Mus musculus: one gene and its partners. The protein of the gene in region 3 interacts with the protein of the main gene of each other region in a pairwise test. Links are inferred from orthologs where the notes say so. Each region holds a gene or a part of one and is shown on either strand. Other genes may lie near its edges. The genes, in order: Fndc11, Pram1 and Trim27.

What was found.
Region 1: the proteins of Trim27 (region 3) and Fndc11 interact in binary tests that used the Homo sapiens proteins (3 or more experiments, as listed by UniProt). The two-hybrid records come from large-scale screens. The link is inferred for Mus musculus from reciprocal best matches to the Homo sapiens genes TRIM27 and FNDC11.
Region 2: the proteins of Trim27 (region 3) and Pram1 interact in binary tests that used the Homo sapiens proteins (3 or more experiments, as listed by UniProt). The link is inferred for Mus musculus from reciprocal best matches to the Homo sapiens genes TRIM27 and PRAM1.

The regions. Positions count from the first base shown.
Region 1 is NC_000068.7:181,217,742-181,224,830, reverse strand, and holds Fndc11 (fibronectin type III domain-containing protein 11), read right to left. Parts: upstream 4,798-7,089; 5' UTR 4,697-4,797; intron 3,438-4,696; 5' UTR 3,428-3,437; coding exon 2,429-3,427; 3' UTR 2,382-2,428; downstream 1-2,381.
Region 2 is NC_000083.6:33,634,948-33,642,036, forward strand, and holds the start of Pram1 (PML-RARA-regulated adapter molecule 1), read left to right. Parts: upstream 1-3,108; 5' UTR 3,109-3,227; coding exon 3,228-3,230; exon of another isoform or gene 3,231-3,265; intron 3,266-5,516; coding exon 5,517-6,969; intron 6,970-7,042; coding exon 7,043-7,089. UniProt on the Homo sapiens protein: May be involved in myeloid differentiation. May be involved in integrin signaling in neutrophils. Binds to PtdIns(4)P.
Region 3 is NC_000079.6:21,177,199-21,184,287, forward strand, and holds the start of Trim27 (zinc finger protein RFP), read left to right. Parts: upstream 1-2,732; 5' UTR 2,733-3,296; coding exon 3,297-3,716; intron 3,717-4,785; coding exon 4,786-4,881; intron 4,882-6,533; coding exon 6,534-6,764; intron 6,765-7,089. UniProt on the Homo sapiens protein: E3 ubiquitin-protein ligase that mediates ubiquitination of various substrates and thereby plays a role in diffent processes including proliferation, innate immunity, apoptosis, immune response or autophagy.

The DNA of each region.
Region 1 (7,089 bases), on a different chromosome or scaffold from region 3:
TTCAATGGCAAATGCATAAACAATAAACTTAGCTGGGAGGGGTCTTCAAAGCCCCAAAGCCATCACTCCCTTAATATGTTTATCTCCTCGAATATAGGATTCTGGTTCATTTCATCTCCTGGTGCCCCTTTATTACTTAAATAATACATTGTGTGTGTGTGTGTGTGTGCGCGTGTGTGGTATGTATCTATGTTTGTTTGTTATTAAGCTTGCTTTGATTGATCAAAACACTCTTCATGGGAGGAAACCAGAAGTCAAAGTCTATGCTGGACTTTTCTGAGACTTCTATTGTCCACGTGATTAATTGAAATCTCAAGTAGACTCTTCAAAGGCAAAAAGCAGCCACATTTGTCACCAAAACATCACAAAAACAGTCTCTCGGCCACGTAGTAAAATTCTTCCCCTTTGAAACCCCGAGAGCCAGGTTTTCACACTTTAAATCACCCTCAGCAACAAACTCTTCCATATTCTTACTAGGATAGCCCATTAAACCCCACTTAACATTCCACTGCTTTCCAAATCCAAAGTCCTCAAATCCACATTCTTCCAAACAAAAGCATGCTCAGGCCCTGGTACCAATATCTAAAGGTTTTACTGCTGTGAACTGACACCATGACCAAGGCAACTCTTGCAAAGGTTACCATTTAATTGGGGCTCTCTTACAGGATCAGAGGTTTAGTCCATCATCAAGGCAGGAGCATGGCAGCATCCAAGAGGGCATGTTGTTGGAGGAGCTGAGGGTTCTACATCTTGTTTAGAAGGCAACTAAGAGAAGACTGGCTTCCAGGCAGCTAGGATGAGGGTCTCAAAAACTCACACCCACATTAACACACTCCCTCCACACCTACTCCAAGAAGGCCACACTTCCTAATAGTGCTACACCCTGGGCCAAGCATATTCAAACCACTATAGAATTGGAGCTTAAGAAGAGAAGAAATCCCAGATCCCATTGGTAACAGAGGCACAAAGTATGGTGGAGGTGAGGCAGTGAGCCTTGAGGAAGGCATTAGCACTAATGGGCTCTGCACAGGTTGGGGAGTGGGCTATGTGAACCAGCTCCTAAGTACCTAGTACCTGAAGTAGCTTTGTTATGTGTCCACCTCTAGGTTACATCTCTCTGGACCTGATGGGGCACAAGACTGGGCCATGGTTGGGGATGGGAGTGCCAGGCTACTAGACCCATGTATGCTTCCCTTAGCCAGCCCCCATTCTAGGCCTCTCCTGTCTGATAGAGTTGCCATTACCTATACCTAGTCTCCACCCTACAACACACAGGCTATCCATTCTGGATCTCTAGGATGACTATCCTGTGAGATATCCATGAACAATTGGCACTTTGACCACATGCCACAGAGAATGACAGTCCTGATTTGTAGGAACCTTGGTTAGATATGTGGCTAGAGCTAGCTACCTGGCTTACTACCTAAGCTGAGCCCCAACAGGCCAAGCACATCCCCAGTGGGGAAAGTAGGAGGTCTTTATTACGCCCTGTCTTACCCAGAAAACTACTTTGCCAGTGGGGGAGGATTCCCTGTCCTTTACTACCCGATCACCCGCTCCTGCCAGGCTTGGCCATTTCAGAATGACTCCCACCCATGGTATATGTGGTAGGGAGGAAGCTGGGCTTAGAGTGTGCTGCATCAGTTCTTCATATTGCTTTAATCCATCCTTCTGCTTTGCCCGGAGGTGACTGAACCTGTATCTACCTCTTCTATCTCATAATTATTCTTCTCTGTGTGTGTGTGTGTGTGTTGACCTGGATGGAAGACCTTAATGTCGAGGTGTCCTGGACAGTAGTGAGGAATGTGGTTACCTGTGTGGGCTGAATACCATCAGCTAGCTACTGAGGTCAGCGCTGTAAGGGTGGTCACTTTTCAGAAGCTGTGCATCATCGAATGTCTTTGAGAGGTTCCCAGCCAGGCTTCCTCTCTGGGACCCTCACACATGTGGGGTGCCTATGGCACTTCATCTTACTTGGGGAGAGTGTAAGACCTTTATTTTAAAAGTAAGAAATCATGGTCCTGGGCATCCTTGTTTCCAAGGCAGCTGGGATGCTAGCACTAAAGCTATGACTGCCCTCAGTGGTGTCCAAACAGGCCCAAAGTATCATCTTCCTCAGAGAGCTCAACCTAGGAGGCAGGGAAAGAAATCTGGTTCTGGCTGTCCGGATGAGGGGTACATAAGGTGCTGAGGCTGAGGGGCTGAGTTCCCTTGAAGCAGCCAGGTACCGGTGGCCAGCTCTCTCTTGTTCTAGAGTCCAGCCGGGGGCTCTCCTGGAAGAGACAGAAGGCAAAGGGGTTCTGGGACTTGTGGGGTGTAGGGCCATCAGGAAAACACATAGCTGCTACTTTCTTAAGGCCTAAGTAGGGTTGTGTCTTTAATTTGGTGTGTGTATACTCCTCTTTATTAGTGGATAAATATTAGAAAATCATCTCTCAGAAGGTGTGGTCAGGGGCAGGCTGGGCTTACCCAGCCTGGGGGCAGGCCCCTCAGGGGGTCCTGGCGTGGTCTGCAAGGTGAGGCTGTCCCGCCAGGGCTCATAGACCAGGGTGTAGCTTTCTGCCCTCTTGATAGTGAACTTGTAGGTACGGTTGGGCAACAGGTTGTGGACATCAAAGGTGCAGGCAGCCACAGGGACTATGCCACACTGTGTACACTCCTGTTGTGTCCTGGGCTCCAACAGCTTGAAGCGCAGTTCATACTGCTCTGGTGCTGCCGGCTGGATGGTTACAAACCAGCGCAGGCTGACCCAGTCCTGATGCGCCACTGACTCCTTCCGGTCGAACATAACTGGCATCTTCGTGCTCAGCATAAGCCGGATGTGTGGGATTTTGGTGGCTCCAATGTCAGATACCAGGCGGTGCTTGACATGCAGGTGTCCTGGTACCATCATGGCCAGGAAGTTGTCCATGACAACTGATAGGTCTGCCAACTGCTGTTCCACAAGCCCCCAGCCTGCCAGGAAGGGCCGTGGGTCAGGGGCCTCAAGTAGGGCATCCAGTGCTGCCCGGCCATGGTCCAGCTGCTCCAGCAGGTCCCCAAGCAGGAGGAGCTGGATCTTGGTCTGTGCTGTGCCCACCTTCTTCATGCGCTGGAACTTCCAGGGATCAATGAGCTGGAACATGGTGTTAGGTAGCACCAGCGGGTTCTGGTCACCCAGGGCCAGGTGCTTAGGGAGAATCTCAATGTAGTAGGAGCACTTCTTGAGCAGCTGCATGCGGGCATGGTGGCGCTTGAGCAACTGGGGGCTCAGGTCTGTGGTCAGGAACTCACGCAGCACGTTGCGGCGCTCCATGTATGTCCTCCAAGCCTCTGGCTCCAGCAGCTGCTGGTCCTCTGCCTCCTCCACCTCCTCTGCGTCCAGGAAGGAATGTGGACTGTCCAGCTTCATTTTGTCCAGGGCCAGGCCTGTCACCTGGAAGTTCATTGTCTGGGAGCTGAGGGTAAGAACTAGGCATCAGCTGTGACCGTCAGATTGGCTCTGCCCCTCATCAGCCTCTGCCCCATAATGGCTTTTGCTCTCCCCTGGGACACAGCTTTCTGATCAGAGACCCCTGGAGGGGACAGAATAGTGGGCTGGGTACTGGGCAAAAGCAGATGATAAACGGGAAACTTCTATCAAGGGGCCAATAGTATTTTGTGGCGATGAGCTAATGGGGCTTATCAGACAGAGTGGGCTACAGGGACCAGAGTAGCCTGGGGAGAAGCTCTGGGATGTTGATTAGTTTTGAGACAGATCATAAGTCTCAGGTTCCTCACCTAACACAGGTCTGTGCCCAAGCTTAGGGTGATTCCCCATGCTTCCCAGTACTCTCCAGAGACCAGGTACACTGCAGGGGTGCAATGCTCAGGGACCAGGCTAACCAAAGACAAGACTCTACATCATCCTCACATAAAGGGGGGGGGGGGGACCTTGTGTGGCTAAGAACAGGGTAGATCCTCTCCCACCATCTCACAGATGGGGGTTGGGGGGAGTCTAACGCTAAAGCTTGTTAGGTTGGTCTTCCTTCATGGTCACTTTTGATTTTGACAGAACATCTCAGTCTGTTGTTCAGGCTGCCCTCCAACTCCTGTGCTCAAGCAGTCTTGGGACTCCAGGGGTGTATGCTCCTGTACCCAGTTTATCCCAAAGCTGGAACTGTTGACTCCAGAGTCAGCCCTCCTCTCCTTGTCCCCATACCTTTCCCCCAAATCTGGTTGTCTGTGGAGAGGCTGGTGTGCCACAAAGCCCAGTAGCCAGAGATCCCTGGAGAAGGTACCAACCTCCTGCTAGCTGTCCCTGGCACTGGGCCAGTGGCTTCACTTGGAAATCTCAGTTTGTGGAAACTGGGCTTGGATGAGCAAGAAACAGAGCTAAGAGACTGGATGACTACCTCAAAACCACACAGCTGGATAGTAAGATTGATCATGTCCCAAAGACTAATTCAAAGTGATTTGTGTGAATGGTGGTGCGTGCCGGGGGTGGGGGGTGGGGGGGGTTAGAACAGGCATCTGAGACAGCAGAGAATGGTTCCTGGCTGAATGCTAGCTGAGATCAGGGCCCCAAGACCCTGAGTCAACAGTTCATGGCCGCTAGAAAGCTCAATGGAAGTCTCCATAACTACTTCCCCATCTAAGCTATTCTATCACCCCTCCCCCTCCGTGGAGACTACCCACCCCGAGCTTCTGGGCACACCTCCTAAACTCCTCTACCTACCACTCCTCTTCCGGATCACCTCCGTGAGCCCCAGCCCCGCTCTGCAAGTGCCTGGCCGCCCGCTTCCTGTGCGGAGCCCAGCCAGAGCTGCAGGGTGCACTGCCAGATCCGCTCCCCCTGCCAAAGGCCTACTTGTTGCCATGGGAACCACTGGCCCTTGTGACGCTGTGCACATCCGGCCCAGGTGTAAGGAGCTCTTGATTTGAAGGCTAAATTTTGATATACGGCAGCAGCGATTTATGTCCAGGGCCTCACGGACTCGAAACAAACTCAACTTCAGCCCGCGCCACGGGCTAGTGGAATTGTTCCTCGGCATCGTGTTTCGCAGCAGTCCAGGAGCCTGCGGTGGCTGGGTCAGCAGCTTGGCTTGCAATGGGATTCTATGCAACGCAGGAAACTGGTGTCTTTGAGTGGGACAGAGCTGGCTGCTGGGACTCAAGAAGCCAGCAGATGCCAGTGGAGTGCAGGGAAGGGCCACCTGTTTGACATTCCAAGCCAAGCAGCCGCCTATGGGTCTCAAAGACGATGAGAAAGGAAGTGATATAGCAGCAGATGGCTAGGATCTCCTTAGCAAGCAGTCAGCAAGGTGAAGGGGTCTGGTTTTCCCAGGCCTCCAGAAACTCATGCCCTGTCCCCTCCAGTCTGAATAAACGGAGTCCATAGCTCTAGGAATCCTCAAAGGAATCCCCAAGTTGCAGTCTCATACTCCAAACTGGGCTTTGGACCCCTAGATTTAACACCCAGGTCCTTCCTCTTTATGAGCTAGCTTGGGGTTACTCCTAGCAAGGGTCTCAGGGTCTCAGCCACCTGAAAGCTGCTGACTCTTTTCCACTCGGTCAGTCCTTCTAGATTGGGTTTGTCTGGACTGAGTTACCTGGTTGTAACTCAAGTTTGCTACCAACTTGAATTATAGCTAGAGCTCCCAGCCCTCCTGATGGCATCTGACGGTGCTGGGGAATAGTTTTCCTATCTGTCAACCTATATTGGCTACAGACCTCAGAGGCCCCAGAGGGGGAGGGGGAGGAGGGAGAAGCGATGGGTGCTGGCTCTGTGCTCATCTAGGCTAGTTAGTCATGGTGGCCAGTTTGAGGGAGAAAGGGATGCCATCTGAAGGTCCAGGAGGGAAACTGGCCCCTGGGGAGTAGAAGAGAATAAAAAGCAGCAGGAAGAATACCAGCGCCCAGCTCTTCCTCAGGAAGGAGATGGGTGAGGCTCACTACCCTGTTCTTAGGGGTTGGGCTTGCTCTGGGTCTGTGAAAGCTGCTCTGCTCCACTTGATCGGTCTTTTTTTTTTTTTTTCCCAGTCCTAGTTTTAAAATTTTTAATTTTTTAGATTGATTTTTATGTATATGAGCATTTTACCTGCATGCCTGGTTCCCACAGAAGGCTGGTACCCACAGAGGTAGGAAGAGGACATTGGATCCCCTGGAACTGGAGTTAGGGATGGTTTTTATTTTTCTTTCTCTTTCTTTCTTTCTTTCTTTCTTCCTTCCTTTCTTTCTTTCTTTCTTTCTTTCTTTCTTTCTTTCTTTCTTTCTTTCAAGATTGATACATTTATTTTATGTGAGTACATGGTTGCTCTCTTCAGACACACAGGAAAGGGCATTACATTTCATTACAGATGGTTGTGAGCCACCATGGTTGCTGGGAATTGAACTCATGACCTCTGGAAGAGCAGTCAGTGCTCTTAACCGCTAAGCCATCTCTCCAGCCCTATTTCTTTCTTTTTAATTCTTTATTTTATGCTCAGTAATGTTTTGCTTGTATGTAAATCTGTGTGAGGGTGTCAGAAGCCCTGGGACTAAAATTATAGACAGGTTTGAGTCCCTATGTAGGTGCTAGAAATTGAACTTGGGTCCTCTGGAAGAGCAGCCTGTGCTGTTAACTGCTGAGCCATCTCTCCAGACCACAGGTGGTTTTTTGTTTTTTTGTTTTTTTGTTTTTGAAAAGTTAAAAATTCCTTAATTTTTTATTCCTGGTACCACTACCACAATTTACAGGGCAATATACCTGATGTAATGAAAAGAAAAAGAAAAAGACAAAGCTACAACAGATAAAAGACCTCAGGAATGTACATCTAATTGACACTACATTGCATTAATCAATAGCTGTACTTTTTGCAAACTGTGGCTATGACAGTCCTGAACAAGAAGGGTTTCCTGTTTAAGCTGCAGTAACTTTTCTGACTATGGATCATTGTTCCTTCTGTGGCAGATTTTTACAGTTCCTCTAATGCATTTGGGACGACTGTCTCAAAGTGACCTGCAGCTTTCCTGACAACTCCTTGCTCTCTCTCCTGCTAAGAACTGTAGCCATTTCTGTTTTATTTTAAAACCTTCTGCTACCATATCCCCCACTTCCACCTCCAGATCCATAGCCACCACCATAGGGAC
Region 2 (7,089 bases), on a different chromosome or scaffold from region 3:
GAAAGGAAGAAAGAGGTGGGTAGATACCTAGGGCTGCTTGGTCGGCCAGTCTAGTAAATAGTAAGCTTCAAGTTCGGAGACCTTGTCTCAAAAAGTAAGTGGGACACTGATGGCAGCCATTAACCTCTGCAAACATAGGCACAGATTCATGCACCCACACAGAATGGGATCTTCTGGATGAGAGAGGTTGAGTAGAAAGACTCGGGGATTCTGAGATTTCCTGTCCCAGAAACTTAGTACAGGGGGGTCAGATACCAGGGACATACAGAACTTCCATTGCACTCCATTTGCTGCCCAAAGTAGCTATCCTTACTGCTTTACACATGCCCAGTCTTTGCTCTTCTGGGATGCCTTGGGGATCCCCATCCGCAGCTCAACCCACGCTTGTGCACCCCACTTCCTGCTCCTGAACTCCCATAATCCCCAACCTCCTTCTCTTTAAACTGGAACTCCACAGTGTTCTACCTCCACCTCCCACCTAAACAATGAAGTCATCCTAGTGCCCCAGCTTTCCAGCAGACAACACCCAAGAGTGTCAGTGTGGGGAAAGTATCTGCTGGCAGGAACTTATGCAGCTGCTCAGGTTGACTTGAATAGATGGAGAAATTCCTGGAGATTTGTCTGCAGACTCAGGTTTCAGGCTACCTCGTGGCAATTATGCACTAACAGATCTGTCACCTGAGGGATGTGGAATTGCTTCTATTTATCCTAAGAGAAGTGGAGAGCAGCAACAACCCCAGGTGGATCCCAGCTCATGCCTCTGGACCACGCTCCCGCTCCCTCCTTCAAAGAACTCCCAGATCTTCCAGGAACACCACAATAATTGGCCCTCCATTGTTTTAGACTTCTAGTTCCATAGTTTAGTTAGGGCCACCAGGTCATCCTCATGCAGGTCAAATACAGTCTGCCAGCCATGCTGGGAGGTTACCAACAACCCTGCATTCTCCCCTGTTGGGTCTCCTGCCGTTCAATCCTTTAGCTTGTGCTGGCCTTGATGGCCTACTGTGTGCTTTCAGGCCAGCATAAAGATCAGAGGACAGCTGTGGGGTTGGTTTTTCCCCTCCACCTTACATGTGTTCCAGGAATCGAACTATGGTCATCCAGTTTGTGTGGCAAATGTTTTAACCATAACCACAACCCCTAGCCATCTCACTGACTCATTGTTTTCGGTTTTGAGATTGGGTCTCCACTCAGTTACCAAACCTGAATTGAATCTGACATCCACCAGCCATATTCTCAACCAGTACCTGGGATTATAGGCGTGGCGTGGCTTCTTTCATATTTCTACCTGACTCCATTCACCAAGATTCTGGAAACTATCCACTTGAGACTCCTATAAAAGCAGACTCGTCTCTAGGAACTGTGACCCAAGACAGGAAAACAAGCATCAGAATCTTGATGCTATGTGCTAAAATAAGGAAGGTGTGCCTCTCAACCTAAGCTGCTTTATTTCCATTTAAATAAGCTGAAACCATACCTGGCTCATTCCCAAGAGTTATACAAGTTCTTGCTACTCTATCAGCCTTATAATACCCAACAGCAGGCCCATCACCTAAGTCAAAACATATATTTATTTTGTTTCTAAGATTGGTTTTCATTGTGGGTTTTTTTTTTTTTTCTTTTACTCGAGACAGGGTTTCTCTGTGTAGCCTTGGCTGTCCTGGAACTCACTTTGTAGACCAGGCTGGCCTCGAACTCGAAATCCGCCTGCCTCTGCCTCCCAAGTGCTGGAATTAAAGGCGTGCGCCACCACTGCCCGGCTTCATTGTATTTTTACAAGGCACTGCAACAATAGCCTTAAACTACCAGACTTTCCAATCCTCCTGCTTTTAACTCCCAAGTGCTGTTTTATGAGATTCTAGAAATCAGATTTAAGGCTTTGTACATGCTATATAAGTACACTACCAACAGAGCTACAAACTTTGGATTTAGTTTATGTTATCTTCCTTCACAGGGTCTCAACTTTCCAGCCGGGGGATGGTCATGCACTTAATATCCTCTTCTCCCACATGCGAGGATTACGGATGTGTGCCACTATACCTGGGTAGAACATGTACTTTTTTGGTTACGTTTCTGAGTCAGGGTCTCATTATGTAGTGCTGGCTGGCCTGAAATTCACTATGTAGATTAGGCTAACCTTGGAAATGTAGTGAACTTCCTGCTTCTGCTGGGATTACAAGTATGCACCACTACGCCAGTTGCTTAGAGCATGTACTTTGTGACTCCAGGGACATAGACACATGTACACTCATCTATACACCAGAACCATCCTGCTAGGGTGTAAGTAGTCCTCCTCCTTGGACCACATCCCAGACTGGTGACATCAGAATCTCTGGAAGATATTTTTTTAACAGCTCAAAGAATTCTATTCTGTTCCCAAACTGAGAATCATACCTCTGAACCCTGCTGAGTGTTCTTTGTTCCTGTGGACTGAATCACGTGTCAGGGCTCTCCTTTCCTATATCTACCTTTGTCCCACTTTGGGCTTCATTTTCCTGCAATCCAGTTTTCTTGTTTCTCCTCTCTCTGCTTCCTTTAACCACTGTGAACTTGAGAGGTCCTAAAACCCCATACCTTCACAGCAACAGTGATGTCCCTTCAGCCCAGGACTTAGACATCTTTTAATGCCACCCACCCATAAGTCTGCTTATCCCAGTTGATGATGCTTTGGGTGCATAGCCCTGGCTGATGGGGCATTTGTCACCTTAACAGGGAAGTCCTGTTGAGAGTACAAATGGTGAAACAAGGTAGATGAAGCAATACAGGAGGACAGATATGTCCTCACCATTGCAACAGCCATATCCTAGGTCTACCTCTTTAGAGACGTCTTAAGACCCAGAGAAAGCCATAAAATCCCCACTAAGGTGCTGTGACTGTCCTGAGTTTGTCCTAAGCTTGCCTCTTCAGAGACAAAGCTTGTCAGGACCCCAAAGTGTTAAAACTAAGGGGGACAATAGGGAATCAAGAGGCTAGTAGGAGCTAGGAAACTTGTGCTTTATAGATGTGCTTAGGTCTAATGACCTGACTTTGGGGACAGTAGTGGACAGGCAGGAACTCAAGGAGGGGACAGAAAGGCTATCTCCGCCTCCTTCCTCCTCTGCCCTCCCCAGCCCAACAGCTCCGACTTGGTGTGTCAGCCCGTGGAGCAGAAACCACACTTAACTTCCTCAAGGCAGAAGCCTAAGCTCAGAGCTCATTCACCCTGTGGTTCATCATCCCCTGAAGCCATGGTGAGTCCTCAAGCCCCCATTGGAAGTTCATTCAGGTAACAAGGGTCCCAAGTAGAAACTGGGGAACTGGTAAATATGCCCTCATGGGTAACCTAGCAGAACAGAGCTAGAACAGTCTTGGGGATGAGATGGCACAGGAAAAGATAAGAAACAACCAAGGCATAATAGCTTGAGCTCTTGTGGACCAGCTTTGTATCTGTGACTGCAAGGCAGTGTGGTGCTGGTTGGGTCTGCCTGGAATGATATACCCTCAATCCAGGTCAGCAGCTGGGATATAAGCAGAGGTTTCCTGTGAAGTGATTAAATGGGTCACGCACCTGCTACACCAGTCCCCATCTCCAGTCCGTTACCCAAGCTGTGCTCTGCTAAACCCTTCCTTATCTACCCTTGTGGTCATCAACTCACTTAGACTGGGGCTTCAACAAAGAAATGTCTGACCCCAGGCAAGAATTGCTTCCTTCCCAGAGATCCTTCTGAGTCCATCTCTAGATAGATTTACAAGGTTCTGTCCTCTCTGTCCTCCAATCTTTTTTACCCTTGGTGAAGATAGGCTGGGGATATCTACCAGCACCTATGGCAAAGAGCAGGTCAGACTTGAGAGCACCAGAAATGTTCTAAACATATCATATAGTGCCTGTACATTTGGGGAGCCTCCCTTCTGGTCCTCATGAGACATGTCAGGGACTATGACACCTAATACCCACATCTTAGATAGATGTATGTAGAGCTTGTTAACTTAGTTAGAATGGCTAGCCAACAAGCCCTAGAGGGCCTCCTGGCCTAAGCTCTCCAGAGCTAACTAGGATGACAGGTACTGCTCCTGACTTTGTTATGTATGAGTACTGAAGCTAGAACTCAGGCTTGCATGACAAGTACTTTACCTACTGAGAAATCTCTCTAGTCCCCCCAACTAAATTTTAACAATTTATAGTCAAAATGGGTATGGTGGTATACACCTGTAATGCCAGCACTCAGATGGCTGAAGCAGTAGAACTGTTGAATCCCAGCCTGGGCTACATAGTGAGAAACTGACTTAAAATAAACAAAAAACAAAAAAAGGAAAGGAAAGGAAAAAGGAAAAAGGGAAAAGGGAAAGGGAAAGGAAAGAAAAAGAGAGGGGGGCGAGGAGAGGAAGAGAGAAGAGGAGAGGAGAGAAGAGAGAAGAGAAAAAGAAAAGCAAGCAAGCAAGCTAAACTAATGGTGGCACACACCTGTAATCTCAGCACATGGGAGGCAGAGGCAGAAGGTTATCCTCAACTATAAAGCAAGTTTGAGGCCAGCCCAGGATATATGAGACCCTGCTTCAAAAAACAAATTAAAAAAAAGGAGGAGGAAGAGGAGGAGGAGAGGACGATGACAAAAAACCCTCATCACTGGGAAGATATAGTTCATTGCTAGAGCTTGTTTAGCAAGGTGCTAAGTTCCATCCCTAACACCACAAAAATAAAAATCCTCAAAACAACCCTAATATAAGAACTAATATAAAAAACTTCATAGGTAATGGGAGACAAAGAGAGTAGAAAATGTTGGTGACTGTGGGCAACTGGGAAGAGAAAACTGATTTAAAATGGGGTTATCTCCGAGGTCACCCTTAAGGAGCATTATCATAAAGACACAGAGGAGGAAGAGGAGAGACCCATGCATTGAGTGGTATGCATTACAGACAGGACAGAGGCGGGGTGGGGGGACCACTGCTGAGTCATTCAGGGACTGTTTGCTTTCCTCAGAGATGAACTCGCTGAGAGATTGGGAGCAGACACTTTATAGGCCTCCTCTAGGGCAGCAGACCACGGAGGAGGAGCCCATTACAGTGATCTGGACTGTGGAGGGCAGTTCCTCTACTTGGGGTGACAGTGAGAAGTAGTTGAATTCCGGATGTATTTTGAAATCAGGAAAAAAAAAAAAAAAAGGACTGGGGAGAACCGGTGATCAGGCAGAGGGCAAAGAGAGGTCAAGGGGGAGCAGTGGCACAAAGCACAAAGGTTGAAGATATTGTTGATCAGAAGCGTGGGCCATGGGCTAGTAGAAAGGAATAAGTAGTTAGGTCCTGTTAGAGGTTAGACACAGCTTAGGTGGAGGAGTCTGGAGGGCGTGGGTTCCAGGAACCTGGGGACAGGAGTAGTTCTTACCCAAAAAGAGAAGCTGAGATTGGGGAAGAACCAAAGTTAGAATGAGAACCTAAGGGAAGAGGAGGGTGATGGGTTTGTGTGCCTGTGACCAACTGTAACCGTTTCTCCATCTGCCGCCTTGTGATGAGAGCCTTCCTGAATGACCCATGTCTTTTAGGGGAGCAATCAGGACTTCCGAAACCTCCAAGCTAAGTTCCAAACCTCTCAGCCAGAACTTGGAGAACTGTTCAGAAAAACCCCAAAGCCTGAGTTAAACAAAGTCCTGAAGAAATTTCCACAGACTGAGTTAAGTGAGCAGCCCAAGAAGTCCTCACAGTCTGAGCTCAGTGCAGTGTCTTTGAAACCACTGCAGCTGCAGTTTGCAGACCTCCCCAGGAAGCCCCCACAGCCTGGAGTTCTTAAAAAGTCACCACAGCCTGAGTTCCCTCATCTAGCCAACAAGCCTGTACAGGCTGAATTCCCAAGGAAGCCTCTACATCCAGAGTTCACAGGTCTCAAAAAGCCTTCCCAGGCTGAGTTCACAGATCTCAAGAAGCCCCCACAGCCCCAGTTTGCCAGCCTCCCCAAGAAGCCCCCAAAACCTGAGTTTGGAGAGCTCTCCAAGAGACCTCCACAGCTTGAGACACCCCAGGAGCCTAGTGCTCCTCCTGCCCAGAAGCTCCTGAAGCCCGAGCCTAACAATCCTGCCAGGCCTCTAGGAGAGCTCAAACCCAAGATGTTTTGGCACCTTGAGGCCAATGAGGCACCTAAGAGGCCCTTGCCATCTGAATCCAGTACTTTTCCCAAGAAGCCACTGCAGCCTGAGGCTGTTGTTGGTTTCTCTAGGAAGTCCCAGCCACAGTCAGAGTCCATCGAAGTTTCTCAGACATCCCCCTCTAAGTGTGGGTCCAGGGAGCTTGACTCTCACTCCCCACAGCCTGACATCAGTACCTTTCCTAAGAACAATGAGAACTTTAGGAAACCTTCATATCCTCAAGCCACTGGTTGCCCCAAGTCCCCAAAGCAGCCCATGTTCTATGAGTTCCCCCAGACACCCCCTCGGAAGCCTGAGTCATGTAACCCCCAGTCTCACTCCCCGCTGCCAGACTTCAATGCATTCCCTAAGAAGCATCCACAGCTCCAGCCAAGTGACCTTACCAGGGCATCCTCGGAGCCTGAAGTCTGCAAGGTTCCCAAAAAGACTCAGAAGCCAGACCCCAATGTGCTTTCTCAGAAGCCCTCACAGCCAGAATTGGGTCACCTCCCTAGAACATCCTCGGACCCCGAGTTCAACTCGCTCCCGAGGAAGTTTCTGCAGCCTCAACACGGCAAGTTCTTCCAGCCTGAGTTCCCCAAGGGTCTGCCTAGAAAGCCCAAGCTTCCTGGTTCAGTGTCTGAATGCTCCCTGCCCTCTGCTAGTGCGGGCTCCAGCCCCCAGTGCCCTCTCAGCCCTGGGCTTATAGTCCCTGGGATACCCCGCTGGAGATCAGAAGACTTCCAAGTCCAGCGCCCACCCCGACGGCGGCCCCTGCCCTCAGCCAGCAGCCTGGGACACCCCCCAGCCAAGCCCGCACTACCACCTGGCCCCATCAATATCCAAAGCTTCAGGAGAGCCGCAGCAACAGCCGCAGGTAAGGCTCAGGCAGAAGAGGGTGCTAAATATCTGCGCAGAGCCATTTCCCTTCCTTGCTCTTTCCTCCACAGCGGTACTGAAGACAGGCTCTTCTACTGGGACCCACTTCCAAGCTCAA
Region 3 (7,089 bases):
TTTTATTTTTTGTTTTTCGAGACAGGGTTTCTCTGTGTAGCCCTGGCTGTTCTGGAACTCATTTTGTAGACCAGGCTGACCTCAAACTCAGAAATCAGCCTGCCTTTGCCTCCCAAGTGCTGGGATTAAAGACGTGTGCCACCACGCCCGGCTGTGTTTCATTTTTTTTAAAACTTGGTCTTCACTTACAAGAGGATTAATGGAGTGCGCCACCACGCCTGGTGATTTGACCAATTATTGATTGAGATCTTTAAAGTTTTGTTTTCTTGTATTGAGCTCTGGGTTGTATGGATGTTAACTTTTTTTAAGTCTTTCATATATTAAGGATACTCATCCCCTATCAGATGACTAAACAATTCAGAATTCTTATTTTGTTCCCATAAGTGTATAAAGGTTAGCAACTATACTAGGTATTGTTACCATATGTGGTTTTCCCTGGTGTCATTCTCCACCAGCCCACCAGGATAAAGTGGGCAGAGCCGATGAACAGGGTTTCAAAAGGCTTGTGAATACAAACGGAAATGACAGTCCAGCATCAGATCAACTTTATTCAGGGGAACCAAGGGCTCTCTATCGTTGCAGAAGGAAGTAGGGATCTCCAGGGTGGACAAAGGTCACTGGCTGAAGGCTAGGTAGAGATGCCTCATTAGCCTAGGGAGGCATTCCAGGAATCTCAGGTGCTTGCTGGACAGGTTTTTACGTGGAGGAAGGAGAACCTGTAATCTCACCACTGCTACGTGCAGTTCTTCAGGTAGATGGTAAGGGGGAGGAGGGCATTTCTAAGCTCTCCAGACAAGGTCAGAGAAGAAGAAGCCCTGCTGACAAAGGGAGTCCACCATTTTGTACCAAGCTCAGTGGTTTTTGGTAATGTCAGATATCAACCTTAGCAGCAGGGTTTCTCTGACAACTATAGTTGATTAAAAAAAAATTCATAGCAGCAATTTCATTCATCTAACTACTGAATCATTTCCAAGTCATTTGCAAACAGATAAGGTATTGCAATAATTTAGGCCAAGGTGGAGGAACAAACACAAAAACTGCGTGGATGGGTCTGAGACGAGCACTTGCCTAGCTTAACGTCCTGGGTTCGAGCTCTAACACTGAAAACACTGGAAATGAGTAGGCAACTCAGCCATAAAGCTCATGACAAGCCTACTAAATTAGTGGAGAAAGAGAAAACAGTTATCGCTTGAGAAAGGAGGGAGCCTGTAGCAATCCTGGAAGGGGGAGCGCTTCCTTTCCCCTACTTCCTCCACCTTGCCCTACTTACCTGGCTTGTCCAGGCCATCTGCCTTGAGGTTAGGAAAGCAGAGACCGCATGAGCCCTGGATGACAAAGCTAAAATCCAGAGCCGCACTGATGACCTAAGAACACATATCTGCCACCTGCATTTTTCATAGTTCTACACCGGCTTGCAAAACTGAATTCTTCCTTCTGGAGTAAGACTGGCACTTTCAATTCCTTTCAACTTCAGTTTTGTAGCAGAGTAGACTACAGTGTAGCCTAGGACAAATATTCTACCATTTACTGGAAGTGTGCTGAGTTGTTTTGAGCCTGGAGTTTCAAAGAGCAGGTGGGGAGAATGGAGGTTTGGATGAGCGAGACTTGTTAAGTACCTCGGATTTCTTGTCCCATAGGGAAGAATCAAGCAGAATCCAGTGAAGTGATGGCCTGGATACAGAAATTCCCTGTTGCTCAAACACAAGGGCAGGCACGGAGTCAATCCCAAAGGAGAGTAGGAAAGGCCATGGCATAAGTGACAGCGCACAGAACTGAAAACCTATTCTGTGATAAGAAACCAGGCTACAAGACCTCCTCCGGTCATCACAGGACTCTCGATTGGGCAGAAACAAGCAAGTTTTAGGTTCTACTCAATGTCATTCGATGTACTGGGTGCTTCATTTAAACTAGCGGATAAAGATCTTTATGCTCAAGCTGTGGTTTGTTTGTTTGTTTGTTTGTTTGTTTAAAAAGGTGTAACTCCTTGATGGGGAAAATTCCTGAAAGCAATAGGGTATGGGAGCTCAAGGAGGGCACTGAACTAGATTGCTGGGAGTAAGAACTTATTAGAAGAGTTATTAACGTCATGGGCAGAAGGACAACACTACAGTGGACAATCAGAATTTTTGGCCCCAGCGCCGCAGGGCCCAGGCTGGAGGTGAGGGGTGGGGGTGGGGGTGGGGGTGGGGGAGTGTTCTGAGAATGAGGCCCACGTGGCAGAATCCGGGTTGTTTCTTCGAGGGTCTCATAGGAACCCACAGCCACGTAGGTTCCTCAGCAGGTGGCAGGGAAGACGAGAGAGAAGTGTGTCGCCAGGCAGCCCTTTGACACGTCGGGTCTGGCTACTCACTTGAGGAAGTGAGACACTGGGCACCTGAGGAGCCTGAGAAGAAGTTAGGGACTCACAAGCGGGCTCTCGGTGGGGTGGCTCCCTAGTAACGGTAGAGCTAGGGAGATGGGGGAGGACTTCATGGTCTGGTCAGCACTCTGGTCGGGATTCGATCGGTCCCCATTTCACACGAGAAGAAAATGAGGCTCGGAACGATAAACCGATTTACTTTAGGGTGGAGATAGAACTGGGCTTCTCCGTTTCTGCCCCTGAGAAAAGTTGCTGATGATTAAACCCTTTTCTAGCGATTGTTAACGCCTGGAGCTGGGTGTGTCACACTGGGAGGGGCCTAGCTGGTCTCCCCGCCCAGCTTTCCGGCATTTATGCAAAGCCATCTTACTTTTAAAGGAGCCGAGGCCTAGCCACTAAGAGGAAACTCAGCAGAAGACTACGGGCCCACAGACGCTTGGAGTGACCCGACGCCACTGCCAGGGGACACTCTGCTCCCACTGCACGCGACAGCCACGACCGACTCCCGGGCTGGGTGCCGGGGACCCAGGACTGTGCAGAGGAAACCCGCTTTCCCGCCCCGAGAGAGCAGAGCGGCGCGGGAAGCCAGGCCCCGCCCCCGGCCCACCTCTTCCGCTCGGCCCTGAGGAGTCTGCGCGGCCGCGGGACCCCTTCCGACGCGGCCACGTTGCCCGGTGAGCCAGCCCGCGGCGCCCGGTTCCCGACTCCCCTCGGCTCGGCTCTCAGCCGGGCTCCGGGGCCCAGGCCTCCTCCCCGTGCTGTCGGTGAGGAGCAGCTGTGCGGGGACGGGTCTGGCCGCCCGAGAGCTCCGCGCGCGTCTGCGATCCCCGCGCCGGAGGCCCCGCCCCGCTCCGGAGCCGAGAAGCGGAGCGAGCGCGCTGAGCTCCGACAGAGCTCGGCTCCGGGCTCATGCCCTGCGGCCCAGCCGGCCCGCGCCATGGCCTCCGGGAGCGTGGCCGAGTGCCTGCAGCAGGAGACCACCTGCCCCGTGTGCCTTCAGTACTTCGTGGAGCCTATGATGCTCGACTGCGGCCACAACATCTGTTGCGCGTGCCTGGCCCGCTGCTGGGGTGCCGCGGAGACTAACGTGTCGTGTCCGCAGTGCCGGGAGACCTTCCCGCAGCGCCACATGCGACCCAACCGGCACCTGGCCAACGTGACCCAGCTGGTGAAGCAGCTGCGCACCGAGCGGCCGTCGGGGCCCGGCGGCGAGATGGGCGTGTGCGAGAAGCACCGGGAGCCTCTGAAGCTGTACTGCGAGCAGGACCAGATGCCCATCTGCGTGGTGTGCGACCGCTCGCGCGAGCACCGCGGCCACAGCGTGCTGCCCCTGGAGGAGGCGGTGGAGGGCTTCAAGGTAGGGCCGGGCCGGCGGACAAAGGGGCGAGCCGGGGGCTTCCTGGTTTGATACCGAGAAAATGGCGAGCCGGACGTGGGGCCCACCGCCGTCATTTCCTCCCTGTCGGCTGCGGAGCCTCCGCACTCAGACTGGGAAGGAGAACCTGTAGCTGGCGAGGCCAGGAGCACCCCCACCCCCACCCCGAGCGCCCCTGCTAACCGCCTCTACGCGTGCCGCGACTGGGACGGCGCGAGGAGACCCTCCCTTGACAAAGGAGATGCACATGGAGCCAAGTACACTTCCATAGGCCTTGAACGCCTCGAACTCGCTCTGACCCAGGATACCAAGCCAGACAGTCACTGTTGGCTGGCTGAATTCACATCGAGCAGTGCCCATCACTTAATCTGTGTCCCCAGCACTTCCCTGTAAACCTGTTTTAGAACTGAATGGAAATGAACAGAGCTTTTTACTGCTTAAGTAAATCATTTAGCCACTCTCAGACTCGGGAGATGGCTTATTGTGAAGGGGAAGTGAACTCACAGGACCTTTGTGGAGTGTTGAATAAACACTGGCACAGCTACACAGTAGTACGAAAACGTTACATATAAAGTAGCTCTGAAGTGATAATGATCTTGAGGGCTGCAGGGATCTATACCAACAGAGTTATATATTTGTTTAAGTGTGAGTTCATCCAAATGTCAGTCACGTTTACAAAGCTGTCACCTGTATCATTTCACTCGCTGGAGATAAGTTGTAATTTAGTAATGTTTACTGATTCTTTGAGGAAAATAAATCTTTTTTTTTTTTCTGTATTCATCTGAGAAATAGCTTACCTTTTGAGCCTCCTTACCCAGATGTCTTGTAACCGCTTCTAGGAACTGGTAGGTGGCTAGAGTTTAAATAACAAATTGCTAACACACTTGCTGGCCCCTGTGCTTTGGGCTCTTCCCAGGAGTGGCATTATGGTCTGAGAAGAGAGTCCAGCGGGGCCTTGGCATCTGTAGTTTGGGTTCATGTGTGAAAAGCAGAGTATTCTGATGCTGAGATCTGCAAAATCTTGAACTGGCCGACTATTTACTTTCTTCAGGAGCAAATCCAGAACCGACTGGACCACCTAAGAAGAGTGAAAGACTTGAAGAAGAGACGGCGGGCACAGGGGGAGCAGGCCCGAGCTGAGCTTTTGGTAAGGGTCCAGATCTCCAGCCTGCAGAGGAATTGATTGCATTAGGATAGTAAGCTTCTGAACTGCTCTGAAAATCCCTGACAGTTCTCGGCCTTGGCAGGGGTGTAGTGAGAAGCCTCTAAGCAGAGCCTATCAGCTTTGGGAGGTTTGTCCAGAGAGAACTAGCCCCTGGGAATCCCGAACCCTGGGCCTGCTTCTTGGGTCAGACACTAGCCAGTTTAAGTGGAGTGGGTGCAGGCTTTCCGGGCCTTAATTTCTTTCTGTTGGAATAGAGGTCAGACCTAAGAAACCTGTGGATCTCCAGCAGCCAGTGCTGCCGCTTCTTCCCTTGAAATACGTGTTTTGGGTTGAATCAGAGACAGTGTGTGGAAGTGAGACGAGGCTGCCAAGTGGCCTGCAGTAAGAAACACCTGTGCCAGGGTGTAAGTCACACTGCTTTGGATACATTGCATGAATTTATTTTTAGCTTTAATGTTACCTAAGATTATATTGTGTGCTTTATGACTTTGAAAGACTTATCCAGCTTAAAAGAGGTCTGAGTAGAGGGCTCTTGGAGCAGTTGAGTTCAGGTCAGGTTTTAGCAAACTTTCTGAAAAGAGCCAGTAGTAAGTAGTTTTGCTTTGTTAGTTTACACAAGCCGAATCACAGCACCCCAGTTAGTGCATGTCAAAAACAGCCGTGTGTAATACATAAATGAGTAGGTTTGGCTGGATTCAAGTAAAATCTTTCTTGACTGCTCTAGAGCCATCTTGCTGACCACTTATTTAGAAATAGTTTCACTGTGCAGCCAGGATGGGCTTGAACTCTCCATATTCCTGCCTTAGTCTCCCCCCAAGTGCTGGGAGTGTGGATATGCACTGCCTTGCGTGGTTTATAATTTCCTAGTTAGAGCTCTAGGTTTTTTTTTATCTTAAATACATTATATAGTTAAGAATGACCTTGAAGTTCCAGTCTTCCCATGTCTGCCTTCCAAGTGCTAGGAAGGAAGGAGGAATTAGAAAGAAATAAAGGAAAGATGGACAAACCGTAATAGAGACATTGTGTGGAGAGGAACCCATAAAGACTCCCCCAAAAAATCAGGGCATGGCTTACTGAGACCAAGTAAACAAGTCCAGGAAACTTTTGCTTGATCATACCAGGTCACGTCCACAGAGTGCACACCTAGCCCTGACACTTCTGTATGGCTGTTTGATGACGCTCAGTCTGCCAGGCAAGATGCTCATGGGCTCCAGTCATGTGGAACAATGTGATGTGCCTTCGCCCCCCACTTGGTAGCCTGTACCATTTGCTCACCTAGAAAGCCTATCTAGTTCATGCTTACATGGCAGTCTATAAGACCCTGCGTGAACACAGATTTTAGGAAGACTATTCAGTTTCTCCCACGATGTCTTCACTCATCCATGATGTAGATGGACCTGATTCTGATTAGACCGGGTCCCTTAAGATCAGGGACTGTTTCTTAATATTTGAAGTAATTCAGTTCATGGTCTTTGTGTATCTGGTGTGTAAAGACTGGAAAGTGAGTGGGTGAGTATAGTGTGTATTTTAGTATAATTTGAAATGGTGAGATCTTGGGGTTAAATCATGGAGATTATCTTGAGGGATTCTAGCAGTGAGCCTTTCCTCTTCTTACCTTTGCTTGTCATTCACAGAGCCTGACTCAGATGGAGAGGGAAAAAATTGTCTGGGAGTTTGAGCAGCTCTATCACTCGTTGAAGGAGCATGAGTACCGCCTGTTGGCTCGCCTTGAGGAGCTCGACTTGGCCATCTATAACAGCATCAACGGGGCCATCACTCAGTTCTCCTGCAACATCTCCCACCTCAGTGGCCTGATTGCCCAACTGGAAGAGAAGCAGCAGCAGCCCACGCGGGAGCTCTTACAGGTAACCAAGAGAGCACTGCAGGACAGCAGCTTTTACCTCATCAGGCAGCATGATGCTTCCCTGTGTCCTTCTTTAACAGCTGAAGTGTTAAGCATTTTGGAAGGAAAACGCGTATGCTAGAAGTTGTGGTTGACACTACTCAGTTCTTCAGTTGCATTGTGTATGGAAAAGGCAAAAGAAAAACCTAGTCCTTGGGTCTCTCCTGCACTTTCCTTTACAGTCTTAGGGCCTCATTAATCTCATTTGCTCAGTCAGAATAGATTATGTATAATAAAGCATTTGAGCCACAGGTCATTCAAGACCCTTTCATCATCCAGCAATTGTA